Linked DNA regions of Oryzias latipes. The protein of the gene in region 1 interacts with the protein of each later gene in a pairwise test. Links are inferred from orthologs where the notes say so. Each region holds a gene or a part of one and is shown in the gene's direction. Other genes may lie near its edges.

Region 1 (2,401 bases):
CCTGGAGCTGATCAGAGAAAGAGAAACCAACATCCGACAGCTGGAGGTGAGTCTGATTTCTGCACACTTTCACTCAAAGCCAGTCTCCAACTACCGACTTCCTGCTTCCTTTAAATCATTTTCTGCTCTTGCTGCTTCTCTGGTACCGTAATCAGTAGGTGGGCGGATCCGACATCTCTAATAAAATAGGCTCCCAGTCAAGTTTTTGTGTTTCATGGGGAAACGGGGGCCCGTTCTTCAGCTGACTCTTGTGTTTTGTCTGTTTATTTCAGTCCGACATCATGGATGTAAACCAGATCTTTAAGGACTTGGCGGTAATGATTCACGACCAAGGAGAGATGGTTGGTAAGCAAGATTTGTTGTGGTCATTCCCATCTACGGTGGCCCTGAAGTGCAAATTACATCAACAAACCCCTCAATGCAAAAACATATGAAAAGATCACAACGACAATAAAAAAAAGAACCCAAAAAACTTGCATTTTAGAAATTAGAAAAACAAAATTCCAAAAACCACTGAAACAATATAAGAAACTGGAAAAGGTAGGTGTTATACATCCATCACTGATTGGATGATGTTTGAGTTTTAGGAAGAGGGAAAGCAGAAGGACGTTTTGTCCAAACTAGGGTAAAAAAAAAAAAAACGTTGGCCAAACTGTTGCAGTGGTTGATGCCAGAAGCTTAAAGAAATATCTTGTAACTGAAGATTTTTCTGTGCCAGGTAACTTCTGCTTGAAAGGGTGAACAAACGTCCTCATCCAAAACAATAGAAAGAACGTCAACACATGGTTACTTAACCAACAAATGGTTAAGTAACTTTCTGAAATAAATAGTATCAGTACTGAAAAATAATATTCCTCTAAAAAAAACAGAAGTTGTAATCCTGGCATATTAAGGGTTGTTGCTACTTTCCAGTTGATGACGGTGTATGTTCCGCCTTTCAGACAGCATAGAAGCGAATGTGGAGAGCGCTGAGGTTCACGTAGAGCGAGGAAGGGACCAGCTACAGAGAGCGGTACACTATCAGGTGAGCCTGCACCCGCCCCTCCCACAGCCGCCATAGAGCGCAGGTTCCAGCTCACCTTTCTGTGTTTTCCGCTCCTCAGCAAAAGTCTCGAAAGAAGATGTGCATCTTTGCCATGGTCTGCTCCCTTATCCTCCTCGTCCTTGCCCTCCTTATCTGGTGGGCGTGCAAGTGAGCTGAAGTCCCACATTCGGTGGTTGAACACTCCATTTTAGCCCCGCCCCCTTTCCACCTTATAGCATTCAATTGGAACGGCAAGAAAGCTGGAAAGCCGTCAGCACAGCAGGGGGTTTGTGCCACAGTCAACGTGAACATTTCATCTGAAAGGATCCAGTCCGTTTATTTGTAAAGTAGTTAAAGAATCTATTTTGTCTGATTGAAGAAGGAACAGACAACAGAATACTGTCTAATTTATGAAAGTCCTTAAATGTACTTACACCTCCCTTGTCTTATTTACCACACTAATGCTATTTACTAATGTATTTTTAATGATAACTGAAATAATGCATCTTGTTTAGGTGATTTATTTCTTCTCTGTTTTGTTTCCTCTGCTGCTTTAAGAAAGCTCCAGGTCTGGCTATGCTTTGTTTCTTTCATTATAACAGCGTCTAATAGCGGTCGGTTGTACATGTTGTAAATGATAAACATCCATGTCTGTTTTCAGCACTGAACTAGAAAGGCTGTTGTTTTCATATGCGGTGTATAAAATGGATTTCTGTGACTCCCTACAGTATGCACAATAAACATCATAAGCGCTCATATTCTTTTGCACTTGTGTTCTTTTATAAACCTGCACAAAGTGTGAATCACTGCAGAATGTGTAGATTTCCCATCATGCCTTATCCATGGTCATGCTCTTTTCTGTAATGTAAGCATGTGATACAGGACTAATACAACTGGAAAACTAAGAAAAATTAAAGTACAAACAGAATGCAGTGATTGGCTTAAATTATGGATCTACTCCTTATTAAACAAAGTATAAAATGTTCAAACACATTTTATTGCTAGTATAAAATTTGCTCATTTTAGCCTAAAGACGGCAACAATGAATGTGGGCTGGGGGAAACGTTCCTATTTTGAATCTTTAATATGTAAAACTATCTGAATTCAGACATAAATTATAAGAAAATCCCATTCCTACTTTAAAATAAACTCTTTGTATACAGATATGGCTAAAATGATCAGCACCCCAGGATTTAGATAGATGACTTTATTAATCCCACAATGGGGAAATTTCATTTCTGTGGCAGCAACACGACATTCAGAAATAATCTATATAATATAACATCTATAAAGGACATCACAAATTACATTTATATTAGATAATTAAAAATATTACTAAAATTATTATGAAAAATTATCAAAAATGAGATTCTTATT
Region 2 (4,276 bases), on another chromosome or scaffold:
AAGAGGAGGCTATGGTTAAGGTATTGGTCACCAAAAACCGTTGCATCTCAAAACTGCAGACAATGCAGAAAAATATACACCCTTTTGACACAAAACACACAAGACATAAGGTGCAACAGGTGGGTAGGTTGATGATTAAATGTGACGTTCCTGAGAGAAAAGCAAATCAACTTAGAAACAAAGTGTAAAAACTACACAAGCAAGAGTACAAATACAGAATAAATGTGGTTTAAATTTAACTGGAAATTTAATATGTCTGGTTAAGCCAATACTCAGGTAAGACTACCGGTAAGTAAGACGACTGAAATGTTTCTTGGTTACTTACTTGGTTGCAATCTTTGATACTCAAAAAAAAGGAAAGTGTAACAACAAAATTATGGTGATAAAATAGCATCTATCTGCCTTATTCAACCTATAAACTATTTAAACAAGAAACGACAATAAATTCCATTTCAACTTACTTAGATGAATTATTTCCATTTATAAAAAGTGTTATTTAATTTTAAGAACATAGTGACTTCAAGTAAACATTAATAAAATCGCGAATTTTTAAATTAAATACCAACATATGTTAAAACCGTAACAAATTGGTTCAAAGTGGAATCAATCAGTGATGTATAATCATGATGTATTTTCCAAGTGATGATCCATTAGAATGATCAAACTCGACGTTTTTTTCCCCTCGTCTCCTTTGCTCCATCTTCCAGTGTCAACAGGTTGTCCTTTCGCCTTGTCAACACAATCAACTTTTTCCAGTCTTTAAACCTGTTTGACTGCAGTGCTGTGAAAGCCCCGCTCCGCCTGACGCGGTACCGGGCGCCTCACCGGGACCCGGTGCCCTCGGTTTCCCTCCTTCTCCACTCACACAAACCCCGCAGTCACGCCGCCACGCAATCGATTCCCAACAGATCCGTCAAAAACAATCAGCCTGCCTGTCATATTTGGGACCAAAACAAGACACCGCCTCCTGTGCGGAAGCGAAGCAACACCCTCACCACCAACTGACTGTCGCTACCAACTTGGCCAAATAACGCTAATTTACACCCGGGTTCCTTCGTTTGTACCTTTTCGAGCGGTGCTGGACGCTGGGCGGCGAGAGATCGAGCCAGAGACAGAACTGTGTTAAAATAAAAGCTTCTCGTTCCACCTCCTATCACAGACATGATCGCCCCTACATGAAGGCAGAGCAATGAATACAATCAGGAGAGGATTCGAGGCGGGGGGGGCGTTGCAACTGGGAGCTGGGAGAGCCGCAGTACGGCGGCCGGGAGAAGACATACTTCCCAAAAGCGTATTTTACTTTTAAAAAAGGATTTTATTTATAAATTATTCTGGGTGAAATGGAGTAAAAAACATAATTGTGTAATAGCAATTATTTATTCAATTTTTTTTATGAATAAAAACACTTTATGTTTTAGTTTGCGAATTGGTTGCGGACGATTGACCGTTGGACGCGGTGACGTCATCTGACGTAACAGGAAGAGGAGTCGCTCTCTTCTGTCAGCTGATATTAACACAAAATCATCGAAGGTTTGTCGAGTTGGTTTTCTTTACAGTTTTGCGGTGTCGTTATAACTGTAGTGTGTCGTGTGAGAATGACCATCAACTCTGTTTTGTTGCTGCTTTTATTGTATTTTTTTTAATTTGTTGACTTATTTATGATCTTTCTAGAAAAGCTAGGTCTGTGTGAGTGATAGCAGCCTGACAACACCCTCGAGTTTTATATCAAAAATCATTCATTTCGTTCTTTTTTACGTTCTTCGGCCGTTAAGTAAATGAAAAAAACATGATAATATTCTTTTAAAATATCATCCGTATGTTTTTTGTTCATAAAACTTGCAACATGAGGACCAGTTAGCCTTTAATAATATTTCTTCGAAAAGTTTGTTACGCAATACTGTCTGACTGTCTGAATTGCTAACCAATCAATTGGTTGATCGATCCCCCCCCCCATATTCTGAAATGACAAATGTTTTTGTTTCATTTTTGTGCCCCCCCCCCCACCACTTTTTATTGTTGTGAAAGCTTTATTTTTTTTATCAATAATTTTTAGCAGTTTGCTGATTATATTGTCTTTCTTGTTGTTATTGTTTTTGTTTACGTTTGTTTCAGTAGAGTAGGGTTTAAACTTAGCTTTTTAAATGTAAAACATTTTGTTTTTTATGTCTTAGTGACCAATTTCAAACGTTTTCTGCTATGGAACAGCGTCCTGGATGAATAAGAGTTATCATAGATGTGCTCAAAAAGTTTAAATACGCCTAAAGCTTTTTTTTTCTCACAGAAAAACAGCTGTTTACTCTAGTGAAATACCTTGTGTCTAAATATAACAAATTACTTAAAGAAAACTCAAATAAAAGGAAACATTAGTCATTAAACTATTTACTCGAGTAAATAGTTGAATGACTAGTAGGGTAAAACAATTAGTGAAAAATTCTGCTTGAGTACTTAGCACCGGATTAATTATTACTTTAACTATTCATGGAAATTACCGTAGTAAAGCAAAGGGTAAACTGAAGAGCAAATACTACTATTTCCAGATTCTAAAATAAATTGTTAAACTAACCAAATGGAAGAACAATATGTCTTTGGTGAATCTTTTTGGCAACAATGAGATTTATTGATAGCTTCCTGTCTTTCCAGTGAGATATTAATTAGCAAGGTCTACTTGCTTTGGATTGACAAGTTTTATGACACTGGAAAATCTGATATTGTCAAAAATCATAAATTGGGCATACCAAATTCAATAATTATATCAGTTATCCTTCTTAGAATTGATAAAATTATGTCTCTACTTAGTTAATAAACAAAGTCCAATTATGAGTATTAATTGGACTTTTAAATATGTTATATTTAATGTGCTTTACACATAGTATTCTGTCTGTAATATTTCAAAATATTGATAGAGGATCCCCTGATGTGTTATGGCCATAAAGTCAAAAACCAAGCCTTATTATGTTTATAATGGTGGATTTTTTTTTTTTTTTTGCAGTTCTCTGCCGTTGTAAAAACCAAGTCATTGTGCTTTTTTAACTAGAACAAACAAAACAATTAAGAAACTCACTGCAGCTGAGTAAGAGTGTTATGAAACTCATCTTTTACAGTTAGTTCCTTATGTAAATGTAACTTGTTACCACTCATCTCCTATTTTTGATGCCGTGAAATGAGAGGCGCAGCTGAGATTAATTTATTTTTCTTTTTTTATTTTCTGAACTGACTTTTCTTTACAGATGGCCTACCCTAAATCCCACAATCCATTTGCAGATGATGACGATGAGGAAGATTTTAAGCCTAAAAGCAGGGGTTTTGATGATGACCCCGATGATGGGTTGACTGAAGCACAGAGGCGGCAGAGGTACCTGCAGCAGGAAGTGATGCGTACAGCTCAATCTGCTGTGGACAGCAGTCACCGCTCTCTTGGCCTGATCTATGAATCAGAGAAGATGGGTGTGGAAACTGCAGAAGTGTGTAAATCTAATCATATAAAATCAGATTTATTCAAATGCAGACATCATTTCTGAATGTTTCTGAGAGAGCGGCAGTTTGAGAAACCTGGTTCATCTTCCTTCATAGGAGCTGGTACGTCAGGGTGAGGTTCTAAAGAGGACCGACAAGATGTTGGACAACATGGATCAGGACCTCAAGACCAGCCAAAAACATATCAACAGCATCAAGAGTGTATGGGGAGGACTTGTCAATTATTTTAAGAGCAAACCAGAGACAAAGCCGCCAGCTGAGGAGCCAACGACCTACCAGGCCAATGAAAGGTACGCTTTACTTATTTCTTCTTTAGATTAGAAGTGCTTGTTGACTGTCATCATTTTACAGTTAACATTAATTGAAATCCAGAATCTTTTTAAATATTCTTACCTTACTTATTTAACATTGGTTTCAGCTTCTTATAAACACAACTTTCCTTTTCAGAGAATCCAACATGTCATTTACGTGTTTGGTGATTATTTTTACTCACTTCTAACACCTTTCAGGCTCAATCTTGTCCTACATTTACAGGAATAATATTCAAAACCCCCAAGACAAGAGAGTGATCTCTGTCTCAAATTTTAGTCTGTTTTTAAAAGTCTTAAATCAGTTTTGGGGGGAAAAGATTGACAATTCTGAAAAAAAATGCTTACAAAAAAAGCTTTATATTTCGAATAAAAAAATATTGTTTTGTAAAGTTAACTAATTAAAAATACATTTAATTTTTTTTCAATTTCTTAATTTTTTAAAGAAACTTTTGAATAAAAAAAAAGTTATCTGAAAGGCAGCCCACTTTTTT
Region 3 (4,278 bases), on another chromosome or scaffold:
ATGCTTCTGCTAACGCTCCATAAAAAGCAGATTTACGGATAATTAAAAACAGTCATTTATATTTGGCAATAAACTCTCTGGACACTGTGTCTTTTTGGAAAATTAAAAATGATGGTAGGACATATATTTTTACTGAAACGGCCTCGTCCCAGTTTGGTTTTCTTTATGATTAAGGTAACTTTATGAAGCGTTTGGGTTTAATCTCCTAAAAGCGTACAGTCTTGCAAAAGGAGAAGTTTGCTGCTGCTGCAAAACTTCAAAACTTTCAGTTCATGAATTGTTAATTTCAGAAAGATCAGGAAGGTTTCCTCATCTTTCATGTGGCGGCTCTAAAGGTGGAAACACTAAACATGAATCCTTCTACCAGCAGTGCATTCAGGGCTTATTCACTTTTTCCAAATGTTTTATGTCTTGTTTCAAATAGAGTAAACCTCAGGGAGGCGTCAGTTTATTAAATGAAAAGGGCCTTTTTGACATTTAAACCTTCAAGGCACCAGAACCTGGGTTTTTTTGCATCGTTTTTCTTTATTTGGGCCTCAGAGGTCCACAGACATTCCCTTTCTGACATGTTCTGCTGAATGAAAGCTCTCATGCAGACAGGTAGGTGTCCTCTCAAACCCAACCGACTCCAGAACCGCGGGTGGACGTCAGTGAAGCCCACGCATCTCAGAGATGATCCGAGCAAACAGGAGACACCGGGGTTTCATTTAAGCCTTTGACGCACTATTGATGCAAACCGATGCTTCTGCTTCATACTCACCTTAAAGAAAAAACAAAGTGTTTTTTCATAAAATTTCCGGGGGTAAACAATTACTTAGTTTTCTTTTATTTTAAAATCTTTTCTTTTTCCCAGTGTCCAAAAAACAAAAGTGTTCTTTTTATGATTTTGTGCTATTTCAAACAACAATAAAAAAAAATTTCACCCAACATTTGCTTTAAGGGATTTCAAACATTTTTGTCTAAACATATATTCTTACGTTGAAATAATAATAAATAATATGATTGTATTATTCAATATTATAGAGTCTCTAATATAATTTCTATTGTCTATGTGGAACTAAGTTTTGAAGTTTAATAATAAAACTGTAATATTTTATGTTTGGAGTACCATTGTACAAATGTAAATACTAAGATCATGAGGACTTGGTTTTAACCAGTTCGGAAAATTGTGACATTCTGACAATTTTTTTTAATGTAATTCTTGTGGCAAATTGAACACATCTTTTATTTTTTTACAGTTCCCTTTGATCCAACAGTCGTAGTTTTCTTTTGCTCAACCTTTCCTCTTCTGAGTATTTTGTCGTACCGTTTTGTCTCCGTTAGGGGGCAGCAGAGTTTTTGAAGATTCCAAAAAGAGGAAGAGGTTGTTGTTTTAAAAGAAGAAGAGTGTGAAGTTCAGGGAGACTTTGTAAACGTAATTTTGAACGGTAATGTGTTCTTCTTGAAAGGTTATTTGTTCTTTGGTTAATAAAGCCGCGTACTCTGGTCTTTGAAGTGTTTGGCTTTAGAATTAAAAAACACACAGATCTACTCAAGAAATGTACATTCTCCCATCTGTCCCCGACTCACCACAGACTTTGAAAAAAAAAGAGGTAATGAAGGACGCTTTTTGTATAGTGGGGTTTAAATGTAAGCAATTTAAAGTCATTTAAACCAGCAACACTAGCAAGTAGATATTTATGTTTGTTTTGTGCTTGCATGTTTTTACAGATTAAAATTCTGTTTTACGAATCTGAGTTGAGCCAACCTGTCATCGGTTTGAATGCAAAAATTCAGAGGGCGCGTGAAGGCAGCTGGTGGAGCAGAGGAGGAACCTTAGCAACGCAGTTGTAAAGCTAGCGTTTCCCCTGATAGAAATGTCAACATGCACCTTGGTGTTCACGGAGAGCGCGTAGTGTTTTACCTGCAGGCCTCTTCATGCTCCCACGTTCATAATGAAGCTCTTTAGTGAGCCAAGCTAGCCCCGCGGACTTTGGCTTTGTCGTAGCCCCGATCGGCTAGCTAGAACGAGCCGCCGTTAGCTTAGCTAGTACCTCGGTCGGTGAATATGGCGATTGTGTCTGGATCGTGTTCCCGGGTGAGCAGCTCCAGAAACGGGCCGTCGGTGTCCGCCGCGCCGTCCCCGTCAGTCGGACAGTCTCAGCCAATGATAGCGGTGTGGGAATGGCAGGACGACCAGGGCTTCTGGCGGCCGTACAGCGGCCAGGTCTGCTCCCACATCGAGCGGTCCCTGTCCCCGCGGGGCCACCGGGGAGCCGGACCCAGCTCCACCAGCGTCTGCCTCGGACAATCAGATCCCAGTCTGTCCCCCTACCTCATCGACATACCGAGCCTGAAGCAGTTTCGACAGGATACAGGTAAACCGCTTCAGCACCACACCTGAAGTCCGGATTCAGATCAGAGATTCTGGTTTCCGTCGTTCATTTTGTCTTTTTAAACTGCATTTCTGAGAAGATGATGTTGGTTCAGTCAGCTGGTCTAGAAAGCAGCAGTACACTTTAAGTTTATTTTATTAAGTATACTTGAGTACACGTATAGCTAGAATACTAGAGACTATGTAGATTTAGTGAAGTAACTGAGTATTTCTTGGAACATTTTGAGTCCAGGAATAGACAGTATGGAAGTGAACTTCAAGTGCATCACTTTTAGTATAGACCAAGTACCTTTTGTAGTACTCTTACAAAGAGTACTGTCTTGCTGAAGGTAAACTCATTTGCGGGTTTTTGTGCAGGAACCACGCGCTCCGTGCGCCGGTCTCTGTTCCCCCAGTCTTCGGGCCTCGGCAGTGGCGTTTACTGGGAATGGGCCAACGATGAAGGGGGCTGGACTCCGTACGAGACCAGAACTTCCATCCTTCTGGAGCACAGTTACCAGGCCCGCCAGGGGACCGCCGACCTGGGCCCTCACGGATACAACTACATTGTGGACCTCACGTCTTTCGCCCAGGTCAACAAATCAACGGGTTTCAGACGGCAGGTTCGTAGACTGGGCAACTCCCCGTTCCCGCTGGCGTCCCCGGGGCCCCCGGCTGTCCCCTTGGGGCCGGCCTGCTCCTGCCAGCAGTGTTTGAGCCACAGCAGCACGGGGCCCATGCCCAGCCGCTCCCGACATTCCTTTTCTTCGGGGAGTCTGAACCGACCCGGCCTGCAGGGACCAGGAAGGGCAGCCGCGACCCACCCCACTTCCGTCTACTCGCCGTATCCCCGGAGGCCCCACTCTGTTGGGGGGATATCCTGGGGCAGCCCCTGGCTCCCCCCTCCCTCTGCCAGTCAGATCTCGGCGTCGCACCTGAGCGGCTCCGCCAGCGCCAACGGGCTCAGGTGGGTTCCGCCTCTCTGTCCGGGGTTTCTGGTATCTGCTAAAACGCTGCCGGTCCCGTTCCAGTCGCCAACACGGATCTGAAGTCACTTTGTGGGGTCAAATGGTTTTACCTGAACAAATGTGGGACAGACATGGATAAAATAGGAACTCTTACATTTTGATTTGATTTGATTTTTGATTTGAAATGGTTTATTTCAAGCAATCAAGGAAGAAAAATACACAAAAACAATACAATCAGCATATTTTATTACATGTTTTATCTTTATCCGGTTCAGAACTTTTATCAGACAGAATTAAGAATCTTTTGGTGTCAATAAATCTCATGATAAAGATGAATTTCTTAATTATTATGTAAAAATAGACATAACTCTATTTTAGAAATAGCAAATGCAGATCAATTATCTAAAATATAAGCTGATTATATTCATTAGAACAATGATGTATATGATTAAAAAATAATACTATATCAGTAAAATAGACATAACACTGTTTCAAAAATCTTCAATATCAAAAATTGATCAAAGTTCAAAAGTTAAAAATATGTGCAAAATTAAGTTTCATTAAGAAAAACCATGAATCCATTTTTGGAGCAAGTGAAGTAATGTAATTAGAAATCACTCATTTTAACCATCTTCGATAATTGATTATGCATTATTTTTATCTTTATTTTATCTTTTTTTTATTTTAAGGTAGTTCTGTGAAATCAAATAAAATGAGAATAAAATCCTTGGTTGTGTCTGAATTCCCACCCTAACCCCAAACTACATAGTGCAGCACTGTGTAGCGCCCTGAATGTTAAAGCGATTCGGACGCCACGCTCACTACTTGTATTTTTTAGACGGCGGATATGACGTCATCGATTTCACAAAGTTAAAATCGAACTGATATGAGCGTTTTTGGACGAGTATTTATGAGTCTACTGTCTTCTGAAGATAAAAACATTAATGATTTATTAAA

Evidence for each region. The genes of interacting proteins can lie anywhere in the genome.
Region 2: the proteins of stx12 (region 1) and snap29 interact in binary tests that used the Homo sapiens proteins (3 or more experiments, as listed by UniProt). The link is inferred for Oryzias latipes from reciprocal best matches to the Homo sapiens genes STX12 and SNAP29.
Region 3: the proteins of stx12 (region 1) and probable E3 ubiquitin-protein ligase DTX2 interact in binary tests that used the Homo sapiens proteins (3 or more experiments, as listed by UniProt). The two-hybrid records come from large-scale screens. The link is inferred for Oryzias latipes from reciprocal best matches to the Homo sapiens genes STX12 and DTX2.

Annotation. Positions count from the first base shown.
Region 1 is NC_019869.2:17,746,057-17,748,457, reverse strand, and holds the end of stx12 (syntaxin-12), read left to right. Parts: coding exon 1-46; intron 47-272; coding exon 273-345; intron 346-941; coding exon 942-1,024; intron 1,025-1,103; coding exon 1,104-1,196; 3' UTR 1,197-1,782; downstream 1,783-2,401. UniProt on the Homo sapiens protein: SNARE promoting fusion of transport vesicles with target membranes. Together with SNARE STX6, promotes movement of vesicles from endosomes to the cell membrane, and may therefore function in the endocytic recycling pathway.
Region 2 is NC_019867.2:6,078,911-6,083,186, forward strand, and holds the start of snap29 (synaptosomal-associated protein 29), read left to right. Parts: upstream 1-1,405; 5' UTR 1,406-1,530; intron 1,531-3,227; coding exon 3,228-3,461; intron 3,462-3,570; coding exon 3,571-3,764; intron 3,765-4,276. Other genes in the region: phosphatidylinositol 4-kinase alpha, read right to left, coding at 1,065-1,163. UniProt on the Homo sapiens protein: SNAREs, soluble N-ethylmaleimide-sensitive factor-attachment protein receptors, are essential proteins for fusion of cellular membranes.
Region 3 is NC_019872.2:28,224,014-28,228,291, forward strand, and holds the start of probable E3 ubiquitin-protein ligase DTX2, read left to right. Parts: upstream 1-1,407; 5' UTR 1,408-2,047; coding exon 2,048-2,357; intron 2,358-2,731; coding exon 2,732-3,320; intron 3,321-4,278. UniProt on the Homo sapiens protein: Regulator of Notch signaling, a signaling pathway involved in cell-cell communications that regulates a broad spectrum of cell-fate determinations.